Drosophila melanogaster: one gene and its partner. The protein of the gene in region 2 purifies or fractionates together with the protein of the main gene of each other region. This does not show direct contact. Each region holds a gene or a part of one and is shown on either strand. Other genes may lie near its edges. The genes, in order: Sdr and Ilp7.

What was found.
Region 1: the proteins of Ilp7 (region 2) and Sdr purify together in Drosophila melanogaster (affinity purification with western blotting, with the first as the bait; one study listed by BioGRID). This does not show direct contact.

The regions. Positions count from the first base shown.
Region 1 is NT_033777.3:14,912,047-14,925,982, reverse strand, and holds Sdr (secreted decoy of InR), read right to left. Parts: upstream 7,356-13,936; 5' UTR 7,106-7,355; coding exon 6,554-7,105; intron 6,476-6,553; coding exon 5,938-6,475; intron 5,880-5,937; coding exon 5,732-5,879; intron 5,671-5,731; coding exon 5,275-5,670; intron 5,212-5,274; coding exon 4,995-5,211; intron 4,943-4,994; coding exon 4,686-4,942; intron 4,616-4,685; coding exon 4,117-4,615; 3' UTR 2,900-4,116; downstream 1-2,899.
Region 2 is NC_004354.4:3,661,365-3,672,228, reverse strand, and holds Ilp7 (Insulin-like peptide 7), read right to left. Parts: upstream 4,609-10,864; 5' UTR 4,186-4,608; coding exon 4,049-4,185; intron 3,990-4,048; coding exon 3,817-3,989; intron 3,695-3,816; coding exon 3,525-3,694; 3' UTR 3,384-3,524; downstream 1-3,383. Other genes in the region: Parg (Poly(ADP-ribose) glycohydrolase), read left to right, coding at 862-1,574, 1,642-3,100; AstA-R1 (allatostatin A receptor 1), read right to left, coding at 7,564-7,668, 7,740-7,895, 8,698-8,773, 9,951-10,069. UniProt on the Drosophila melanogaster protein: Possible ligand of InR/insulin-like receptor.

The DNA of each region.
Region 1 (13,936 bases), on a different chromosome or scaffold from region 2:
AAACTGCGACAAGTGCAAAAGGATATTGGTTTTTGGGCTAAGCGGTTTATTGACATTTGCAATGCGTGCATAGCACTTAATTAAGGTGTAATTTTCAATATTGAACGCGCGTTAAACAAAGCAAAGTTTTTGCAACGGCTTTTGAAAAGGATGAAAAACAAACAAGGGTATGGTTGTTTGAAAATTGAAAGGAGACCTATTTGTGTTTGTTGAAGGAGGTAACATGATTACTGCTTACGTAAGTAAACACACTTTTCGATGCTTATTTGTATCCTATATATAGACTTCATAATTTAGGCAGTCTAGACGTTGATCCACTCGATCAGCTCCTTGTCAACGCAGAAATCCATTCAATCACCTAAAGCTTGGGGCCTAGATTTTCCCATTCATAATTTCCACTTGTCATGTCCCGTTCCACGAAATCGTTTAGCGCAAAAAGTGGAGCAATGACTGTTCATTGTTAGACGCCGGTGAACCCGACGGATAGAAAAGCCAGAGAACCTGTAGTTATTGCCTACGAAATAATAGCTCTAAATAAATCGTCAAATTGATTTCACTTATGTCACACACACGAGGCTACTCAAATCATCAACTCAATGCATTGGTGTGGTAAATTATTCACGTTTAATGGACAAATCCTTGGCGGGGCTAAATTATTTCCAGGACAATTAAGTGGAAAACTAACTACTTATCTGACCTCTGATTGTTTTCATGCTCGACTTTTTATTCAGCGTGAGAGTTTAGTGCCTGAGTAAAAACTATTTTCAGCGCTTTTCATTATTTATGGATCACAAGCAAAGCAAACACATGTCAGGCCAAAAGCCACGCAAAGCTAAAGCCCCAGTTGCAATTAAGTTCTCTCGACCTACAAATATAGGACATATGGTACGGAAAAAACTGTTTACTCGTAGGATTCCCAAAATGGGTTTATTATGAAGCAGGCCACAAAATTGTATCACTCACTCAATTACAGACCAACAATTTTTATAAGGTGAACATTTTGTATTTACTCTGAACAAGCAGATAGTATTTCTATATTAATTTATATAAATATGAACTTCATATCGACAATATTATTGTGTTTCTTTCAGTGGAAGAGTAAAATGGATGACCCAACGCATTGCAGCCAACCAACTAAGAGTCCAGACGTGTCGGATGGCGGTCCTTTGAGTTGAGCTGGTCCTGCCCAATAAACTTGGCTCCTGCCTCAGCACATTTTGATTTAACTAAAATTAAAATCAGCTGCTTTCCATCTACGCCCTCATCCTCATCCCCCCGAGCACTTTCCCTCCGGCTGTCACTTAGTACATGTCCTTGTGGACTAAGTGACCGTTTCCCACACATGCCAGTTCATATTATCCGGGCGCATTTATCTCGCATTGGCAATTGGATTTGTAATGTGACTAAAGCCAGACAAAACGACAGGATAACAAAGCAATGGCAATGGTCATTGAAAAGGACAATTGTGTGTGCGAGTCGCGCATTTCGAAGCTGACGAACTGCTGACCTGAAGATGGGGTACAGTTGTGTTTTTGGGGGGGAATCGGGGCTTAGTAGGTCGGGGATTATCCAAAGCTCTTTAAATTTGTCGCAGGAAGAAGGACTTGACCTTTTCGGTGGCCTAGAATTTAATGTATGCGCAAGTTTGGTAACTGGATTTGGGGGATTTTCAATGATAAAATATTTAAAATGTTTAACGTTTAACGTGTAGTATATACTTAGTTACTTATTAAAAATATTTCATATACAATTTTATATATTATTGATTTTTAAATTTAAATTTTCTATCTTTATTCAATTGGTTTCCCTTAGTACTGGCAACTACTTGCATTTATAGTAACACACACACACTCGCACAAGCTCTGATGGTGTTCAGTATATATCAATGTCTCAGGTCCAAACTAGTGCACATCATTACCATTACCGTTCCCAGACTGAATGCACTAACCCAGAACTCGCATGCCGACCCGTACCAAATCCAAATTCGAAAACCCAGAGTTTAATGCGCCGATGGTGAAGGTGATGCCGACACTTTCGTTTCTCCAGTTGGGGCAAGGACAATCGAGGAGCGCACACATATGGATTGGCAAAGCTGCCCACATAGCGGGTTATAAGCCAAATATGGCTAAGTCAAAAGCAAGTAAGCATATTCTGTACCATCCATGCAATACTTAGTATCGCACTGGTAGTTTTAAGTATCGATTTCTATAGCAATTTAATAGGTCAAAAACAAATGTCAGGTATGTAACATATTTTCGGACTAAAAATAAAATTGATAAACATATATTAAATAAACTCCAATTGAACAGCACTAGTCCGAGTTGCGGTGCACTCAGTTTTATTGTCCGCCTGCCTGCCTGACTGACGGACGGACGGGCGGACCAACGGGCGGACGGAGGAACTGCTAAACTGACGCACTGACATCGACGAACCGCACCCAAAGTGCTTGGCCCGGCAAGTGCATAGATAACAAACGAGTGCAAGGATAACGAGGCTACACGGCAAGGACTACGTTTGCAACCACAGCTACAGCTGCTACTACAACTGCGTCTATGGCAACGGAAATAACGCGAAAAATGGTGCAACAGCAAAGGGCGAAGAGGAGGGGACAGTGAAATATTGAAATACAATTGGTTTAGGATAAGATCACACACAGCCCCATATCTCTTCCTTCCTCCACTTAAAGACGGCGCCAAAGGATGTGGCATAAGTGGTTTCCAGCTGCCCAGCATTTTGCTTTAAGTCCAGCCAGTTGATTTAAATGGCTACATCAAAAATTGAAAAAGAGATTAGTTACACTCAGTAGGTTGAATAAGGTTTGCCAGCGGGTATTAGCTCACTAAAAAGAAACTCTAGCTTAGACTAACAAATATGATAAACTTGAGTATTTTTAAAGGGAATTTTATTGTAGACAATGAAATGTTATACCTTTTATTGATTGGCTTTCAATTGCAGTATATTATATATGACCTAAATTTGTGCTAGTGAGTTTCTTGCAGTGAAGCTTCCAAAGTACGCGAAGGGATAGTCGCCAAGTTACCCCCTTTGGAGTACTTCACTCGCGACCTCTAAGGTAGTTAAATTGCGCGTCAGTGTCAGCGGCAGAATTGAAATCCTTTTCCTCTGCAGGCACTCTGAGCGTCCTTAGCTTCCCGCATCCCGCTCACCCCTCGCCGCTCATACTTAGTCCTGCGTCAATCACGAACCGCTTTTCCCCATTGAGTGGGACACGTTTTCATGGAACTTTTCCAGCTGCGCCGAAAACTTGGCCACAAACAAGGCGACACATGACACGTACTCGACTTGACTCCACTCCACACCGAAAGCAAAAGCATCGTCTCGACCTAGTCCCTTTCCGCCCAGTTTTCGATGGTGGGGATTAGTTCTAGTTTTTGTCAGTGTTTTAAAGTTTAAAGCTCTTTTGCGGCATATTTGCATATTAAGTGGCATGCGTTGGAAGTTCCAGGCAGCCTGCTGTTGTTAGTTTCGCCTAGGCTTATGCCATGGCCAATCTCGAGAGAAAGGTAACCGCTTTCCGGGCCAAGTTGAGGATCTCAGGAATCACTGCTGTCAGTGAGGGTTTTTCCCTTTGAACGGTTTCTGGCTCTGGCACACATTGCAAGGACGTGCGGCTAAGTCTGATAAGCTGATAAGTCAAATTAGCACTGATGAAAACATTTGCTCGCTTGTCGAGGATTTGTTTGGCATTTACACATTTACAATACATTTGGAGGAACTACAGTCACTTGACTTACAATACTTAGTTGGGCCCATATGACACGGCTTACACATTACATTACATTTTAACAATTGATTCAAGTAAAAAGCATTAAAGCTGTTCAGTCTAATTATAATCAAAGTTAAAAACCGAAAAATATTAAAAAAAAAAATTAATTCCAAATAGTAAAACTACGACATATATAGTCTGGAAAAATAAGAGGTCCAGCGGTCCTTCTATGTCAAGTTTTTTAGAACAATAAATACAGATATAGTAAATGTTAAACACGTTGATTTAGGTTGATATTGCATCAAGTTTTCAACATGCCTATCGTCATATGGGTCTAGCATTTATCACTTGTCAGCGGATACAGAAAGTCTGCGATCGAGGATTCTCTGCTAAACACCCTTGATGAATCGCTCCAGTTGGATGCTTGCAGTCTTGATTACAGCTTCCGCCGGAGTTGAGCATCCGTTGACCACGCCCTCGACGCAAGCCCGTATGGTGATCCGGTAATGGGTTTCCGGCTCCAACTGGGAGAGGCAGTAAAAGTGCTGGGTGCCCGGAAGTTCGTAGCCACTCAAGGGCTCCTCAGCCACGCATTTTTCCTCCACTTGCTGGACCACGGATGCGTGGGAGTTTTGGCACTTGGGCAAGGCATGTCGGATGGTATACTTGTGCTGGTCCAAGTCCTGAAGATCCCGCTGCTTCTTCTCGCTATTCAGGCGATAATTCTCATAGTTAATTGCGGCCAATCTCTCCTTAGCCAATGTTGCATTTGTAGGAGCAGGAGTGGTTGTGGGCGGTCTGGTGGGCTCTTCATCCTTCTTTATGGACAACAGGTGCTCATAGTTAATCACTTTTTCGAACTCCTTTCTGCGATAGTCGTGATTGCGCCTATAGATGGTATAATATTGTATATTATTTCAATTGAAACTTCAAAGAAAACCATATTTTCTTGTCTTACGAAACATAAATGAGATTGGGCAACGCATCCTCGTAGGTGATTTGCTCTTTGTTGTAGTAATCCTCGTCATCTGGCTGAGGACCTGAATAGTAGGGCAGTACACCAGCGCACTCACAATCGATGTCTTTAGCATTTTCCAACTCAACATTCACATAATTTTTGTCCTTTGCTTCCTTGGTAGCATTGTACTTTTCGGCGGTCACAAAATAATTTTTAATGACTCCATTTGGACGCCTCGGTGGCCACCAGTGAAGAAGCTGGAAATGAACAAGTTTTTAAGCTGAGAGATATATTTTGAAAAGTACTTACAATCTGGGAACTGATTTCCGAACTGCCATATATTCGGAGCACAGGACTTGGCCTATCCGGTAGCGTCTGGAAGTAGCCGATTTTTGAGTAGGCATCTATCTGAATATGATATTCGGTTCTGGTGAGGGTCTTCACGAAATACGCATACTGTGTGTAGGGCTTCAGACCGCTTATCACATGACGTCGACTCTGGTTGGGCACAACGTCCATCAGCCAGCTGGAAAATTATAAACAGAATCACTGTAGGTAAACTTGGTGAGGGCGAGGAGTCCACACCCACTTGTCATGACCGCAACCATGCCGACCATCGTACATAGTCACGTTTTGCACCGGGGCTTCCTTGTAGTGATACGAATATCCTATTAGCGTTTCCATACCCTCCCAGTCCATGTAGTCCAGGATGATGCGTACCGCAGTGGAATTTAGGTCCTCCACTTTGGGATTGAGGGAGCGCACCGCGTCGCCACAAATCACGCGTTCGCCGTTCGAATTGGGGGATACATCTGCCACGGATATATTCTCTCCGCTTTTCAGGGAGCCCTGTAGCTGATGGATTTTCTCGTAGCACAGGCGGGGATTCAGGTGAAAGAATAGTGTACCGCGCTGAATGATCACCAGGTGATTGGGTGGCCAAATGTGCTCCAAATGGTAGTTATTCACTACATACAGGGCGTATCTGAAAATGAGATAAATAATATTATTAGAATTTCAATACAATCCTTGCCTCTCAAACTAACTTGTTTTCCACCAGCTTATCCCCTCTTATGGCATCCAAATTCTGAAGAAATGTGAGCGACATCAGCTGTGCAGAGTGTATGACCTTCAGATACCCAGTGATCTCTTTAACACTGGCCAACGCATTTTCCAAGGCATCTACAATTTTTTCTGGAAAATGTATTATGTAAGTAAATTATACAGATATCATATATGATATGAAACACACCTTTAATATTGGTGAGTTCGATGGTAAGTGAACCATTGATCGTCACACAGTCTTGTAAAACTTCCAGGTCGGCAGCACTCTTCACGTGAAAATCGCCGTTGCACTCCACCTGGCAGTGGATGATGCCCTTGGCGACCAAAATCTCTTTCTGGTTTCCCGGACACTTTTTCACACACTGATAGCCGCGTATCAGGGGAATCCTTCCCAATTCCCGGCACTCCCTGTGACCGATGCACCTCCTCTTGTTTAATTCATAGCTGGCGACACACTGATTGACACATCCCATTCTTCCCTGGTAGTTTGCACAAAGGGAGCAGTTTTGGGAATAGCAACCAGTTACACAGTTGTGATCACAACATTTGCCCGCACTATCACATCCGTTTAGGCCACATGCAATGGGGCAGTCCTTAAGTCTGGGCGGTTGGGGGCGAAGTTGTGTCGTATTCACGTTCCAGCAGCGCTCCGAGGAGTTCCGGATGAACTCGAAGTCCGCTGACAGGCTACCACACAAAGGGCACTGACTTTGCGGTCTGTTGTGCTATGGTTAATAAAAAAGTTATTTATCCAATATTTGCTTAATATCAAGGAACATATGCCCAAGTATATCTTCACTCACTTTAAGGGAAAAGTGCTGCCGAGTGGCATTGCCCATTAGATATATCCAATCGACGGTTTCCACGAAGCACAGCAAGGGATTCGATTCGACGCGAATGAATCCGCTCTGGATGCGCAATAACTCCACCAGGCCGAGCTCCCTGAGATTGCGATTCTCGTAGACCACCAGGGAGTACTGATCAAAGAGGAGCTCCTGCCCACGAATGATACGCAGCCGTGGGAATATCGACTGCAGGCTGATCAGACCCGTGCAGCGATACACCATTAGGTAGTCACTGATCTCGGTCACATTGCTGGCCAGCGAATCCAGGCTGTAGTTGCCGGATACATCCGTCAGATCCACATAGGCCAGTCGAACGTGACCCACCACATGAGTACAGTTCTGCAGTTTCCGCAGGTCCGCAATCTTATTTATCTCCAACGATCCGCAGGCGGTTTGATCATCGGAACTGGCCAAAACCGGCGATGAGGCGCCCAAAAACAGCAGTATCAACGGAACTGCGATCGAGATGGGGATCGGAAGGGGGTTGGGAACGGGGTGCAGATGCCCCATGCTGCCACCTGACACTTCCAATTGAGAGCACTTGACCCGGGCGTTAAGGGGGCTTCCAATGGATCAATTAGCGCGCCCGCTTGAATGTCAATGTCGTTTTTCTCGCACGATCGATCGGTTGAACTATATATTTTTTTAAATATTTTTTCCGCTTTTGAAGAGAGCTGCGTTCGCGGCAACGATTCGATTTGGACTGATGGCATTCGATTCGAACAGCGTTCTGTGCTTTCGATCTCTTTAATTAGCCTCTTCTTTCGGCATTCACTTTGTTTTGTTTTGTTTGGTTTTGTTTCACACTGTTATTTCTTTTTTATGCGCTCGTCTTCGTTCTCTAAACCCTTCGGCTACACCAGCGGAAAATCGTGTAGTGTTCATAAAACTATTCAAATTTGTCGACATTTATAAGAACCTAAAAATGTATGCAAAGCGAACATATTTAGTAACCTTTTTCTTAAGCAAAATATCTTTTAAGCAGATTTCCAAAATTATTACAATAATAAAATATTTAGCATATTGTTTGATAGAGCCAATTCTAATATAAATATCTAAATATCTTCAAAAACCAGAACTATTTTTTCGACTCGGTGTATAAAAACTGCTCAAGAATGAAAATCAAAGGTGGTGGCTGTTGTGAGAGAAGAAGACTGATGATTCGATGGGGAGCAGTCTGGTAATATTTACGTTAATGAAAGTAAACATTTCGTAAAACAATATCGTAAAATAATATACTTGCCGGTCTTGCTATTTGTTTGTTTCTAGTTTTCTCAATCAAATTTAAACCCCCTAATGCCCTTTTGCAGTCAATTAAAAAAGTGATATACGAAACTTAAAATTAAGATTAAGAGTACCATGATAATTCGTATGATCTTTTACGGTTTTTGATAGATCGATTTGTGGAGCTACAAATGAAATTCAAAAACTGGAAACCCTTTTTGAAATTCTTGGCACGCCACTGTTTCATTTTGTTGGGGAGCGATTATTTTACGCATCTGTTACCTTTCACGTTTTTCTCATTGTCGTTTCCTTGTTGCCGTCAGCCGAAAAACACTTGTTACTTCTGCAACCGCCACAGCCCCTTGCCACGCCCCCACTCCCCATGTGACCTTGCAACCATTTGCAAACCGGTTGGATCCTCTTCCCCCTTCCTCCTTAGCTACCTTCCCCTTAGCCACCTACCGGCGTTCTTTACCTTTTTCCCCAGAGTGCATGTCTTTGCCTTTTGTTTTTGCATTTGCGCAGAAATTAAATTGCACCGGCGAACAATTCAATTAGAGTGAATGCAAAAAAACAGTGAAAATAAGAGCGAAAATGGTGGGAGGGGGTGAACCAAAGCTCCAATCCAATTGGTAGAGTAGTGAGCATTGAACAACGCGCAATTGGCAGTTCATTAAGGTGCAAGTAACGCTCAATGGAATCGGAAAAAGAATTTTCTAAATTTAGTCAGATGCCAATTGAATACGCAGCTTGAATGATTGTTCAATAACAAAAAAATAGATAATATATTTATGTGTTAAATACAATAGCAATAGAAATCTATAAATAATTTGCGCAAAATTGTGCCCCGTTGTTTTAGATATTTTAATGGGCAAACCACATAAAAACGCACGAAATAATTTCAAATTTTCACTTTGTTATTATAGGGTATATCTTTAGTGTAGTACTTTGAATATATCATTACATATGTAACAGCGGATAAAATCTGCCTAATTCACCCCAGGATAATTATTTAGTTATTATATCTATTCCAAAAATTATTTTAAACATAATAATTTATGTTACCGTCGCGATAATCCATTCAAAATTAGTTAATAATTGATAAAACCATCATCAATGGTCAATATAGGCAGTAATTTATTATTATTATTTATCATAAAACGTTATTTTTAGCTTTAAATATGCTTAAAGCCAACTTCTATTTCTAAAAACAAAACTGCCATAAACTGTATCTTTTTTTAACGAGTGCAAAATGCACAAATTCACGCAAAATCACCAGCTGCACCCACATAAAAAATCGCAGTAAACGTGTGAAAAAACCACACAGGCATAACTATCAATGATTTTTTCGTTAGCTGATGTGCTCTTTTTCTCCGTTTTCCCGCCACCCGCCTGTGAATCAATTTTCGCAGTAATTTGCAGAGCCTGCGCTGATGTGAAACGCGCGGAATTTAATGCAGCATCCTTTCCGGCGGCACGTCAAACTATGAGCATCCCCACCAGCGCCCACTACCACCCCTCACCACGGAAGCCCCCATAACCAGGGGCGCCAATTATTGAATATGCCAGCAGCACACAGGCGCCGTTTGAAAGGGGCAACCAAAGGGGCAGCGGGAACTGACAACAGCCCTCCAGCGATGATGAAGTAGCTAGCTAGTATTTAATAAAAATGCTCTACAACTGCGAAACCATTTTATTTTGTAGTGAATATGTTTTCATAATTATTCCAATAATAAAATGAAAGTTTTCTTAAGCCAGCAGGAAATTAGAATGGCTTTTTTGAGCAGAGCACCATCTCTGACTCACTTAATTCGCACGGGAGTTGCAAGATGGCAATGATGCGGTGGACTCCAGTCACCAGAGTATCCGAGGCGGCAAACACGTAACACCATTTTGCGGCGCGTGATGGGAATCGCTAGCGAGGACGTGTGCATATGCCTACCCGGGAAAAGCGGGAAAAGCTGAGAAAATCGGGAATACAGTGGGAAGAGTCAAGGGATGGGAGAGTGGAAACGGGAAAACTTGGACATAAGTCAACCCGTGAGTAGGCGGCCCACGCACGTCCCTGCATTTAAGTGCCAAATTAGGAGGAGGCCTTGGGCGGCTTGCACATGGCTGTTGGCCATAAATCAAGCGGTCGATGCAATTTATGGCCCTGCCAATTCAATGAGCTACTGCCTGCCTGCCTGCTGTCTCATCATGACCCATTACCATTATGATTGCTGTTATTACGAACTCTACAGCTCGAGCCGGAGAATTAATTAAGTTTGCTGAAAAATGCAATCCGGCAAATAGACAATGGCAGCAGCTGTTCCATCAGCCTTTCTTCCCGGGATTCTCGAGTCCTTTCCGCTCAGTTGGAGCACTTGCATCCTGATTGATGTGGCACCTCGCAGCAGCTGACAGGATATTCAACCCGGCTGGCTGATGCAATTGGACACATGACACAGCAATCTGCTTGAAAACTACACTAAGACGTCCAAGAAGTTGGCCAAAACAGACCACACAGCAAGTGCACTGGAGTTTCCCTTTACCTTTGGGATAACGAACAATAAAAACATTCGAGTGCAAACAATGTTACTTCATAAGTAGTCATCAAAAATTACATAATCCATTTAAGAGGCGAGCAAGTATAAAACACACAAACTGAAATCCATTTTTAATTTGGTAAAACTATTACTTTACTTTCTTTGCCACACTTCATAAAATTGCAATGCTCTTCATTTGCACGTGCATTCCGCAAGCCTCAATTCAATCAAATTTAAAAAGCTTTCAATCTCAATCAAACTGCTAACAAGTCTTGTTCAACCAAATTGCGTTAAATGGAGTCCAATTAAAATTAAAAATGAGTGCCTAAGAGTGTGTCTTTTAAATTCGATAGCACTTCAATTAGAAAGTTTTCAAATTAAAGCCAGCATTCTATTGCATAAGAATGCAAGTAAATTAAAGGGTATATATATTGTAATACAAATTCATATTTCTTGTAATATTTCCATTGCAATGAGCAATGAAAATTGTACATTGTACACTGTAAAAGAGCCTTGATTTTTCAAACCACTCCATTGCGCATAAACTTCACTCTTAATCAGATTTTTCCATTGTTAGCCTTTGCCATTTTTAAGGCATCTGCTCAAAAGCGTTTCATATTTTACGGCTCACCTCATAAAGCCGAAAGGTTGGCTGGCAGAAAGTCAGGACGGAAAGTGCCCTTAGTAACAAGGATATGGGCAACCTTTGTGCCACTTGCATTACGCATACGCCCTGTCGTCGCACAGATCTTCAAGTTTATGCTAAAAAGTCGCACACCGACGCAGCTGGCATGTGCCTCCTTGCATTTCACAATTTCTCCATTTTTATTTCAATATAGAGCATATAGAGCCCGTTGGCCGCCATCCCCGTTGCTAGCTCCATTTTATGCGTTCCTTTCATGCAATGCAAATCGTTTTAAAAATAGTGTATTTTTTACACATTTTTATGCAACTTTTTCTGCCATTCTCCCTTTGTTGCTTAAGCACGTAATTTATGTATTCTTGAATGCCAGTGTGTGTGTGTGTGTGTGCAAGTGCCACAACAATTTGCATATGTGCGCCGCACTCAGGTGGCTGCCCATTTCTTTTTTTTTTTCTATTAGCCACGCATAAAGCTTAATTTATTGGCGCCTGCAGCCTGGAATTTTGCCCTTCCGTTTTGGCCAGGAAGTTGCAATCATTATTTTTTATAGCCTCGGTCACCCGCAGAAATTTGGCTATCAAAGAAAATTAATAATGAACAAAAGGAAAGGGTGAGCTGAATGAATCTCTGGCATTTTCACTGCTGCGTGACGCTGTGGAATTTTGCGCCAAGGAATGAGTGTAAAATATTTTACAGAGTTTAATCAGCCAAAAAATGTGGCAAAGAATTGTGCATCTTTTACACAGACATTTCATATTAAATATTTCACAGTTTGGAATCTTTAAGCTAAGCTTGAGTAAAAAATCATTAATATTCCGCCTTCCAGCCGTCTTACAATCGCAATTAAAAGCGTTATTAAATTTTCGGCTTGAATGCGACTTGTGGTGTGTTGATGGCCAAATTAATTGCATATCTGATGGGGGCATAAATCCGATCTTTGGCTGATTGCTGAGACACGTCTGGTGCGCTCATTTACCATTTGCCACGGGCTTTGTTTGCCGATTTCAAACGGCATTAAAGGGAAGGGCCATGGGTGGCTGCTAATGCGCCCGAGTGCTAACTGCTTGGAAATGGATTGTCGGATTGCCGGATGGCCGGGTTGCGTCACGGATTGCCTGAAAACGATAGCGATGCATTGCGAACGGGTTGAAGGCACGGTTGAATGGTTCAATTGGATGGAGGCTTGCAGTTTAAGGGCTGCAATCAGGTTTCATTGATTGAACAACAGGATTAAATGGCAAACACACAATTATGGAAATCAGAAAATGAATAAGATGAGCGTGAGATGGATTGCAAATAACTGACTGTAAAACCAGCAATCAGTTTATTAAAATTTATTATATCCCAAACAAACTTAAAAGAATTTCTAATGAAAATTCGAAATTACATTTAAATAGATTTTAAAATTTGAGCGCAATGGTAGAAGCTTTATTTCGAATGAAATTCTTTATCTTAATCAAATCGTTTTCTTTGTACAATTTTTCTATAATTTCCGTATTTTCAAGCGACAAACTGAGAGATACATGTTTTTTTTATATCATTTATTTTTCAATCCTAATCTTATTAGCTCTAAAAATGTCATAAATGCTTAGATATATGGCTTTCAGATTCTCTTCAAAACATCCAACACAAAATGGCCATATAAAGAGCATGACAAAGCACCTGGATAAATGAGAATTTCTGATGATAAAACTTTGTGAAAGTTCAAAATGCTTCACATTGCAAGTTAAATTTTTCTTAGCTTAAGGAACGAAAGTTTGTTTTATTCAATTGATTATTTTTGTATGCAAAGAACTATGCCTAATTCTTAAGTAAATGCAACTCACGTTTTAGCTTACAATTTTGTTCGTACCGTTCGCTTTTTAGCAGTTAAAGCTCCTGCGGCCACGAGGCGTATACTTCATTTATTGGCCACATTTCTGGCACAACGCTTCACTGAGCTAAGTACTTTTCTGGCCACCGGTAAAGCCTAAGCTTAGCCAGAAGTCATGGAACAGAAGCTGCCATCGCGAGCTCGTAAACAAATGCGCACCTCAAATTTGTAAAGATTAGCAGACAATTCGCACACAGTCAACACGGCCGCATCTAAGCTTTCATCTGCCTTCCACCTCACAGCGACCACTCAACACTGAAAAAAATAACGCAAAATTGCGCAAGTTGTAAAAAAAACTTAAAAAAGTTTAAATGTATTGTTTTTAAAGGTCAAATTTTAAGTTATGACTTAGTGTAAAATTTACAATTTAAATTCTCAGCCAACTAATAAAATGGGGTCACCTTTTTCACCCGGTGCATGGATAGCATTTTAGAAATAAGGGAAACAGGGCCCGGAATACCGAGTAACCACCTTGTCTAATCTAATAGCTGCCGGCTGACAAACATTGACATTTTCTGTTATGTAATCAGACGCCCAAAGGTATGCCCAAAATACAAAGAACACGTGCCCGACACGCTCGCCACTCGGCAAAAGCTTCGAAAGGTGGGGTGGTTGTTGGCCAAAAAGCGGAGGAAACGCAATAAATTGTCGCATAAAAATTGATGTTTTATTTTCAGCTTCTTTTGCACTCGCTTGTCGCCCCGCTTTTTTCCCACACAATTTCCCATTTTGGGTTCTGTTGTTTTTCGCTTCGCCTTTTGCTATGCAAAACGTGCATGGAAATCGCAAAATTCTTTTCGCTTTTTCGGTTAGCTCAAACACAAACAAAAGAAGCCGAGCAGAAAGTTGCTATTGGGTTGGCAAAATCCTGTGGACTGAGGATCATCGGGGGCATGATGAAACTGCTGAGTCTGACTTGTCCTAGATATATAGTCAATATATATGTGCTACTTACCAATATTACATCATAGTCCGTAATGAATTCCTTAACTTATAAATAAACGTTCCTAACCTTTTGAAATTAGGCCTTAAAGCTTTAGCCCCCTTAAAAAGCCACATTTAAGCCAAGAACT
Region 2 (10,864 bases):
TTCAACACGTAAGCTTGAGCAAAATACCACAATCACATAAATATATACATAGGTGCGAGTGACAGTGCCACATTAAGGGTTAAAAACTGAAAAAATTTGATTTGACCACTGACGTCAACGAAATAACATTTTCTTGCCAAACGTGATTATAAAAACATAAAACAGCAATTACTTTCCGCCGCTTCTTACCTTTTTGAGTATTAAATACATTTATAAAAGTTTCGCAGACGCCTTTAACTTGATTTTCCTTGGTAATATGCACTATTATTTTTACCGCACGAAGGACAGGAAAAAATCCTTTCACTTAACGTAAAACTTGGCGCTCGTTATGATAGTTTTACACTTTAAAAAAAAATTAGAGAAAATAGTTGACAAATTGCTGGAAGATTTGTTTTTTTTTTCTTTTTGTTTGTTGTTGTTCCTTCGGCGGTTATATTTGCAATTCGCATTGCAACGGACACAGTGTTGGTATTTCTCGTGCTGGTATTTAAATACTAGCGACAATGAGAGGTAAAATACCACATGTAATGGTCACACTTTCGCCCGCCGAATTCAAGGCAATGCAATTTTGAATTTGTTATTGATTCATTCTCAAACGAATACCAACATATATTTGAATATATTTCGATATATAAACGCTTCAATTCACTACGCTTCAATCGAAGTGTGTGGTATTTATAAAGTGCGATATTCATCACAGCTATCGCTCATCCCCAAAACACCGGTATGCAAGAATTCAGGTCACACTTGATTTTTCCGATATTCCAAAAGGTTTACCAATCTACGGCAAATCGCCGCAGAGCAAGTGCATCCGTGCTGACCAATCGACTCGGCAAGGCTTTGTGCTTAAACTGCGCCAGGATGTCGAAGTCGCCGGATGGCGGGATTTCCGAAATAGAAACGGAGGAGGAGCCGGAAAATCTGGCGAACTCCCTAGATGATTCGTGGCGTGGAGTTTCCATGGAGGCTATACATCGTAATCGGCAGCCTTTCGAATTGGAGAATTTGCCACCAGTGACTGCCGGCAATCTCCACCGGGTTATGTACCAGCTGCCAATTCGTGAAACACCGCCACGCCCCTACAAATCACCGGGAAAGTGGGACTCCGAGCATGTGCGTCTGCCCTGTGCGCCCGAGTCGAAATATCCGAGGGAGAATCCGGATGGCAGCACCACCATCGATTTTCGCTGGGAAATGATCGAACGAGCCCTTCTGCAGCCCATAAAGACGTGTGAGGAACTGCAGGCGGCGATAATATCATATAATACCACCTATAGGGATCAGTGGCACTTTCGTGCCCTTCATCAACTTCTCGACGAGGAACTGGACGAGAGCGAAACACGGGTTTTCTTCGAGGATCTATTGCCGCGCATTATCCGATTGGCATTGCGGCTACCGGACTTGATTCAATCGCCAGTTCCGCTGCTCAAGCACCACAAGAACGCCTCATTGAGCCTGAGCCAACAGCAGATCTCCTGCCTGTTGGCCAATGCCTTCCTGTGCACCTTTCCCCGGAGAAACACCCTCAAGAGGAAGTCCGAGTACAGCACTTTTCCAGACATCAACTTTAACAGGTGAGCGTCCACCAGATTCGTATATCTTCAGTCGAAGTATGTTAAATATATTCGATTCCATCAAAAGGCTTTACCAATCGACGGGACCGGCAGTTCTGGAGAAGCTTAAATGCATTATGCACTATTTTCGTCGCGTGTGTCCCACAGAGCGGGATGCCAGCAATGTGCCCACCGGTGTGGTAACCTTTGTTCGTCGGAGCGGATTGCCGGAACATCTGATCGACTGGAGCCAAAGTGCGGCGCCGTTGGGTGATGTGCCATTGCACGTGGATGCCGAGGGAACAATCGAGGATGAGGGCATTGGACTGCTGCAAGTAGACTTTGCCAACAAATATTTGGGTGGCGGTGTCTTGGGACATGGCTGCGTTCAGGAGGAGATACGCTTTGTTATCTGTCCGGAGCTATTGGTGGGTAAACTCTTTACGGAGTGTCTGCGACCATTCGAGGCCCTGGTGATGTTGGGCGCCGAAAGGTATAGTAACTATACGGGATATGCCGGAAGCTTCGAGTGGTCCGGCAACTTTGAGGATTCAACGCCAAGAGATAGCTCAGGTCGTCGACAAACGGCCATTGTGGCAATCGATGCCCTACATTTTGCCCAGTCACATCATCAATATCGCGAGGATCTCATGGAAAGGGAGCTGAACAAGGCGTACATTGGATTTGTTCACTGGATGGTGACGCCGCCACCGGGTGTGGCAACTGGTAACTGGGGTTGCGGCGCATTCGGCGGTGACTCCTATCTGAAAGCCCTGCTGCAACTTATGGTCTGCGCCCAGTTGGGCAGACCTTTGGCCTACTATACCTTTGGAAATGTGGAGTTTAGGGATGATTTTCATGAAATGTGGCTGTTGTTTCGAAATGACGGGACTACGGTGCAGCAGCTTTGGAGTATTTTAAGGTCGTACAGTAGGCTTATTAAGGAGAAGAGCTCCAAGGAGCCGCGTGAGAATAAGGCATCCAAAAAGAAGCTATATGATTTTATTAAAGAGGAACTTAAGAAGGTCAGAGATGTGCCCGGAGAGGGAGCATCCGCCGAAGCTGGAAGCTCTAGAGTAGCTGGATTAGGCGAAGGAAAATCAGAAACATCAGCGAAATCCTCGCCAGAACTCAACAAGCAACCCGCCCGACCGCAAATCACCATAACGCAACAAAGTACCGATCTATTGCCCGCGCAATTATCGCAAGATAACTCAAATTCTTCGGAAGATCAGGCCCTTCTTATGCTGTCGGACGATGAGGAGGCCAATGCCATGATGGAGGCCGCTAGTCTGGAGGCTAAAAGCAGCGTAGAAATAAGCAACAGCAGCACAACGTCCAAAACGAGCAGTACAGCCACGAAATCAATGGGTTCAGGTGGCCGCCAGTTGAGCCTGCTCGAGATGCTGGACACCCATTATGAAAAGGGTTCGGCCTCGAAGAGGCCACGAAAATCACCCAACTGCAGCAAGGCTGAGGGTTCAGCAAAGAGTCGTAAGGAGATCGATGTGACCGACAAGGACGAAAAGGACGATATTGTTGACTAGGTGATATTGCACTACAGGATTGTTACTGCCCCCAAAATTGAAGAGGTATAAAATGTATTGTAGATAACTTTAAGGACATATTTAGGGCATTTTAAAGTAGGATCATTGTAAGTCGAATAAAGTGAAATTTTTTTTTTTTTTTTAATTATACTATTCTAATCTGCAAAGACAATTTTACTGTTAAATTTGTATAACATTGATTGATTAATATAATTTGTTATATCATGCAAATCTAGCTTTTATTATGCGAAATTTGTAGTTAAAGCCAGTAAAGTTTCTTTTTATTTAACCGAAACCTTTTGTTTATTTTATTTGACCACAACAAGAACATCAACAACAACAACCACGAAAAAAAAAGCGAATATATATTTGTTTGTTCGTATATATATATATATATCTAAGCAGATCCAACGTCGATGGCCAATCAGTAGTGATTGCGTCGCTTGTTGGATGGACAATACTCGGCGTATTCCTCCCAGGTGCAGCCCGCCTTGGTGCAGCATTCGTTCGATATCGATGGAGTGTTTCCATCCGATCGACGACTTCGCAGAAACATGTTGGCATAGTTCACGTGCAGCCAGGTGGAGCCATCAGCTGGAAAGACAGCAGGTGGTATCATATCGATATCAATGGATCTATAGCATAGATGTACATGTGTACATCGCTTGAAATTCCAATCGTCTTTGGTTGGAATGGATTTCGATTCAACAACTTACGTTCCGTGGTTGTCTTCTTGATCCAAGCCTCATCATTGCCCGTCCTCTTTTTGTTGCGCCGTGTCAGTCGGTAAATGTCCTTCTCGCAGGCCCAATATAGCTGGCGGACCAGCTTGTCACGGCAGCGGGAGTGCGTCTCCTGGTGCCACACGTTCTCCCAGTCCGATTGGGAACTAAAAGATGGAGACATAGACATCGGAACGGTTCGATGTCAATGGAGTTGACAACTCACCGCTCGCGGAAAAGCATCTCGAGACCCTCCTCGGTGTGCTGCAGTGCCTCCGGCGTGGGTATCAGCGGCAGGACGAACAGGAGTACAGCTCCGCAAAGTGTCCAGCTGCCCGAGTTTTGTATTATCATTCTGGTCATATTGGTTAGTTCTTGTGCTCGAATTGTGCTCGAAGGCTATCGAAGGAATGCTGATCCTGATGCGGCTCACACGGCGGATGCGTGCCGACTGAGCGCTCTGGTCGGTGTGTTGTCAGGTTTTGAAATATAACCGAACCCGGTCTCCACCTGAGTGGCGGCCAACTGTCGGGCGTCGGCGGTATAATTAAATCGTTTGGTCAGCGCTCTATTTGAAGTAATGAGGCCCAGGACCGGGTCAGGACCTCTTTCACAACCGGCCAATCCAATCCAATCCAATACAATCCAATCTAATGAAGAGCTACGGCAGCAATTGCGTATGCGGCCCGTTGTCCGCTTATTGCCTTGTTTATCTGCGGTTCCATTGGGCAGCAAATTGGAGGCACTTCTCTACATACATGTGGTTGGTTGGTTTCACCTGCCGATTTTCCACCTGCAACCTGTTGCTTGGCTAACAAAACAACATAAAATCGGGCAAGTTACGCTGTTTGCCTCGTAAAACGAGCCGGAATGCCGGGCACTTGTTTTTATTTCGAAGCTGGCATAAATTTTGCAATATTTGCACGAATTTCAATACTGTGGGCGAAACAGTGGGCTAAAAGCGGGAAAATATAAAAAAAATATGTAATATGTTAATATGTGGCAATCATTGGGATTAATAAATAGGTATGTTACTCTAACCAACCAATTATACATCTTAAGATTTTTTTTTTAAATTATGAAGTTGATTTTCTTTGAGCCCACTGTGCGAGTATGCATAAGAAAAGCCGCCCACATGAGACAATAGCTTAGCTAAATAATGTCGCTGTTTACACGTTCCGTGTGAATTTATGATGCACCTTTTCTGCACACAATGCTCCAACAGCTCCAAGTGGAGGTCCTTCCTCCTTGGCTTGCTATTCGAGTTTAGTTCTTGGATGACACTGCCGGTGTTTGGTTGCCTTTTGGAAGCCTTATTTTCCAGAATTTTTTTTTTTTTTGTAAGTGCTTTCGAACTGAACTTTTTAATAAATCTTGAATGTGTTAAAATAATAATAATAGTAATAAGCTTAAGTTTATTAAACGCGCAGGATTTATTGGTTTCAAAGCCAAATATTTACGTTTGACAAAAATAAACCGTGTCATTTGGAATCGATGAGTAAACAAATAGTGGATGAAACTAAAGCTGAATTTATTTGCCTGGCACTTAACACTATTGTAAACAGTTGTCTCTTTTTTTATTGAACTTCAATGCTTACAAGTTTTAAATCAATCGATTTAAACTTAATGCAAATAGAAGTGAAAACCACTGGCATGCCAATAAATAAAATATTATTTATATTGTGTACACAGAGTCATCAATTTTTATTTAACACAATGAACAAATGTTTATTGTACATATACATTCATATACAAATACAATAAGTTTCGCTTTTCATAATAACTGAAATGGTAAAATGATGAGTACATTTCGTAATGCGTTTTTTTTTTATACACTAGTTTTGTTTCAATTTTCGCGAGAATAGGCGGCTAGCGAATACCCTACAGGGTACACAAAAAAACTATTTTTATGTTACGCTTATACTAGAATATTTAAACTTTTCTTTTGTTCAATTTTGCCATTTGTTCGCGGTTGTTTTCTTTCTAAATTCAAATATTGTTCAATTCCACAACTGTGCTAGGAATGCAGTAGAATACATTTATATATACGCATTTATGTTGCTATACATATGCTTATATATATTGTAGTTACAATAGTTTTATATGTCAAATACAGTAGCATACTGAAATGGGAGCATGTGTTTCTAATTGATTTAATAGTATATGTGTGCAATCTCAATTGCCTGCATAAAAATCGAGTAAACTAATCTAGAAATTTATTAAAGAAAAATTTGTTTTTTTTGTTTCTAATATTTTATGTTCCATTGTTCAGATTTAAAGTGATTTTTCACTAGCAACACCTACTCCCATTTTCGTATATCTTTTTTTTTTTGTGCCACATTTAAATTCGGCAAGGCCGAAGCCATGCAAAAGGAAAAGTCAACAAAGCAATATAAATGTTTTAATAATGTCACTTATATAATAGTCAAAATGTTTATAAATTGTTTTATCTATATATACGTGTAATTTACATGATTAACTTAAACGTTTACCAACTTCACATGGTCAACAATTGGCTAATTTGTGAATTAATAATAATTGGAGTAGGAAATGGAATGTTTCTATAATTTATGCGAATGAAAGCATTGTACTTATTTGATCTATTTAATGATTAATTAAATTTGCATAACGAAAAGTATAATTTTTTATGAAATTGAGCTTCGCTAGTACGAGAAATTAGTTAGTAATAATTTTATTAGACCTCGAATCTAAAACATTTACCTGCATCTTAAATTACAGCTCTGGTAATAAAAAAAAAAACTTTCTTACGTGCTAGATCAATTTCTTCTATCTTTGTGCTTATCTGTCAAACAAAATATTTTTTTTTCAATGGACAAACAGAAAAAATTCCAAATGTTTTATTGTTAAATCTAATCTTCTCAATATGGTCATGTAAATCTGTAATAACTTTTCTTTTCTGTCTTTTCTGTTAATTAATTTTAATTGATTTTATATTATTAAACGCTTAGTGGCTAAATGACATATGACTTGCTTATAACACGAAAATCTACAAATTGTTTAAGAAATCCCACTGCTTATCAATTCTAATCATTAATTAGTGTGTCAACTCTCATCGATTTCTGTCTCAGGAAATTTACAGCATATCTGTTGCAGATTTTGTTTGCCATTTTCAATATTTCAGGTGCAAAATGTAAACAATTGAGTTTTAAGCTTTAACTTTCTTATTTTTTCTTTTTTTTTTATTATTTTGGAAAAATTAAATTTTATTATGTTAAATACTTAAGTTCTAGGCCACAAATGCAACTTACACGGCGCTCAATGTTTAAAAAGAAACCAATCGTATTAAAATTTAACATAGAATATATGCGTGTTTATAATATACCTTTTCGGTTGTCTTATTCTTAGTGAAATAATGCGTACACATTTTAAACTATCAAAACAATCACATTTCATAATTCGGAAAATTATATTCTCCTCATAGACATACATTGTTTACTATATATACACTATAGTTAACTTATATGCGCCGCGTTTTTATGTTTTCTTTGTCAGTTTTAAATTCATATTTTCTGTTTCGAGTTTGTAAGTCGCCTTCAAAAATGTTGTGACCATCTCAATTAGTTTACTTTCAAGAGCTGCAAGCATAAGATAATATAATAATAAGATAATTAATAGTTAAATATTATGGGTAAATTCAATTGAAATATTCAATGGAGTGTAAGATCATACATATGTATGCATATATGTATGTATGATGTATGTATGTATGTACATACCCGCTTAGAGCATTTCAATATTGGACGTTCCGTTTCCGGTTGCAGTTCGCGTTGTCTTGGTCACCTGTTGATTGGTCATCAAAGGTGGCGGACTTCCACACCAGACCACCTGCAAGTTGATCGATATCACATTATTACCGAATGATCATAAATTTATTGATGGATGGATGCGTTGCCCACCTTGCGGAATGCCTTGCGAAAGTTGTCGGATAGAAAGGCATACAGTATCGGATTGATGCACGAATTCGTGTACGCCACCACATGGGATATAATCTGAATAATGACCGATAAGTGGCTGCCGCCATAAAGATTCAGTGCCTTTAGCACGAGGATGACCTGCAAAGGAGCATTAGGCAGATTTAAGCAACGAAAGTTCAGTAAATTAGGCACAACTTAGGCTGTTGCATACTTTAAGCGATAGATTTAAATTTAAAATTAAAACATTTTAAGTTCATCATTTGATTTGAGTTGCCTGCATTTACATTATTAGTTGCCATATGCTGCCATATGACAGATGCAATTGGCGCATTTCTTGCGCTCCAAAGTGTCTGTGTAATTGTAATTTCGTTTGTAATTTGCAAGCACATTGATTTTGTGCAAACACTTTGCTGTGCTGGCAACTCAAGGAGCAGCAGCTGCTGGCTTATTAAGCATTTCAGCAAATACTCAGAATATCGGACTATCGCAAATGTCAATTTATCGCAACTATCATCCATTGTGTTTGCCAACAAAATTTTACCAGCAGCTGTTGCCGCCCATTGCCAATTTAAGATACTCAAACTGGTGGCTGAAACTTTAAGTACAATAAATCGATTATGAGCCCTGTAATTTTCTTGCAACGCAGGCTGAGAATTTAATTTGAAACTTTGCTATTCGAATGCCTAGAAGTTTTTAATAAAGTTTACAAAATCATTTAAGCTTGACCTTGACCTATTTTTCTTTTTTTTTTTTTAACAACTACCAATATAGGTATATGAATATGAGTTCATTTGCTGTTCGCCGTTCAATCTTAATTAGCTATATAACAAATCGATTGTTTACTGTTTTGGTAAATTTTGGCAAATTTGCTATGCACCTTGTGCATTGCATTGCATTTTTGATTATTTGCACTTAATGCCAGGTGTTTTATTGTACTCACATGAATGGGCAGCCAACAGATGGCGAATGCCAATACGACAACAACAACCATTCGGGTGACGCGCCTTTTTCCCTTTCTGAAATCAAGAAACAACAAGAACAAACAGAAATCGGAGAGTTAGTGATATATGCGAGATATACTATATACTAATATGGATATATATGTACAATGCACATATGTATAGACTTGGATATCTGGAGTGCATATAAATTATGCCGCATTTCAGTTGCTGAATTTTGCATTGGCCGCGCTGTGATTTATGAACTTTGCGTGCGGATTGCGAACTCGTCGCAAGTTCATTTCCATTCAAATTTAAAACGCAACCCAATGTACATATATGTATTTGGGTGCTCCAAACTGCTCTCTTTGAATCTTTTCCTAATCTTAAGAATCACCCGAAATACAAATATTGTGTCTTCTTCTCAAACCAATTTACATTTGATTTTTAGTCTTAAGCTGAGATCAAAAGAACTAGCTATTTCTTAGATATTTTTTTATTTCTTAGCGTTGTCTTTACATTAGTTCGACTCAAAAATATCACAAGTAATTTTACTATATACATATGTATTTACAAAATATGCAAAGGTTTAAATATGCTTGTATAATATTTTTTATTTAAGTTGAATTCATTTCATACGAAGAGTGAGCACAATTTAATAGTTTTCGATTTATGATAAAACCGAACTTGGGGGCAAGGTTTTTTTTTTCGCAAAGTTTAAAGTGGCCGCAAGTTCAACTTCAAATTGATGGTTGCTGACCCCGATCACGTCTGTGTGGCTTAGTTAACTTTACTTTCTCGCTTTATCCACGGAGCGTAGTTTGAGCAACTTGTTTGTGGCTATTTAAAATGTTAGGTTTACCTTAGAAGTAATGAAATAATGTTTAAAGTTTTAGTTTTATGTTTTGTAGCATGAAATATGACAACAAATTGTCATTTTACTGGGCTTTTTTTTTTGTTAGTCGCATTTTCCTGAACCTGCGGGAATATCGCTCACATTTTCCTAAACCTGCGGGAATATCGCTCACATTTCTACTTATGATTCGGTCTCGTTGACCTGGCCACTTAAAAAATGCATGAGCCAAAGCTCCTGAGCTTTACGCACAGCCTAATAAAAAGGCATTCATCATGGCAGCAGGTGCGTAGCTACAAAAAAAAATACGACGAACGAAACAAGCGGAAGGAATATTTCCGCACCCATGGCGTATACGCGATATTCGTGTGTTGGAGTTTGTTGGGATATACATTTACTTACCGTGACTCTGCGGAAGGTTTGCAGCCAGGAGCACTTTTCCAAAGACGAGCCAGCATTCCCATATATAGGAAACAAATCAGCGTCAATGGTGCCACATATGACGATAGAAAGAATGAGACCTGAAATAAGATACAAAATGCGGAAAATGCGTAAATAAATATCTTCTGTTGCGTCTGTGCAAGATCAGGAACAGATTGATTTTTGTCTGAAGAATTCGTCAGTAGCCATGGGCTTAGGTAGCTACTAGGCTTAGATTTAAACTTACAAGAATAGTTTTTAGTTCAAAAAGAAAACCTAACCATAGATATATGCTTTCAGTTAAGTTGTATATATTTATTTTGCAATTTTTTTTTGTACAACTACTTTTGTTTTATGTTGCTGTAACTGGTCGAAGGCTTTTCCTCTGCCATCTGCTGCCATGTCAGCTACTTTTGTTTCTGCATGGAAATTGTCAGAAGCGCTGACCCGTAATGCTGACCAGATACCAGATATGAGTACCAGACACTTGCCAGTTCCCCCCAAAAAAACAAAAAAAAAAAACCAAAGCCCCCATTTCCATTTACCAGCTGCCGCTTAGCCGTATTCCCAACAGACAAAAAGATATATGCATATATATTATATGCATATATATCCATGCAATGGGCGTGTGCATGAGATAGTGGCGTTGGTCAAAAAGTGGCGGAAAATTCGAGTAGTTGCTACTGGCTTCCGGTTGAATATCTGTACATATTTCGATTGAATCGCACTGAAATTAATCGCCGAGTTATGGAATATAATTGTAAAGATAATTCAAGTGATATTAACTTATGCCTGTGGTTATTACGAAGTTAAAATAATAAATCGATCTAATAGTTTTGAGTACATTTTGCTCTTTACGAACTTTAAGATTTCTTTGCCCCATTGGGACTTTGATC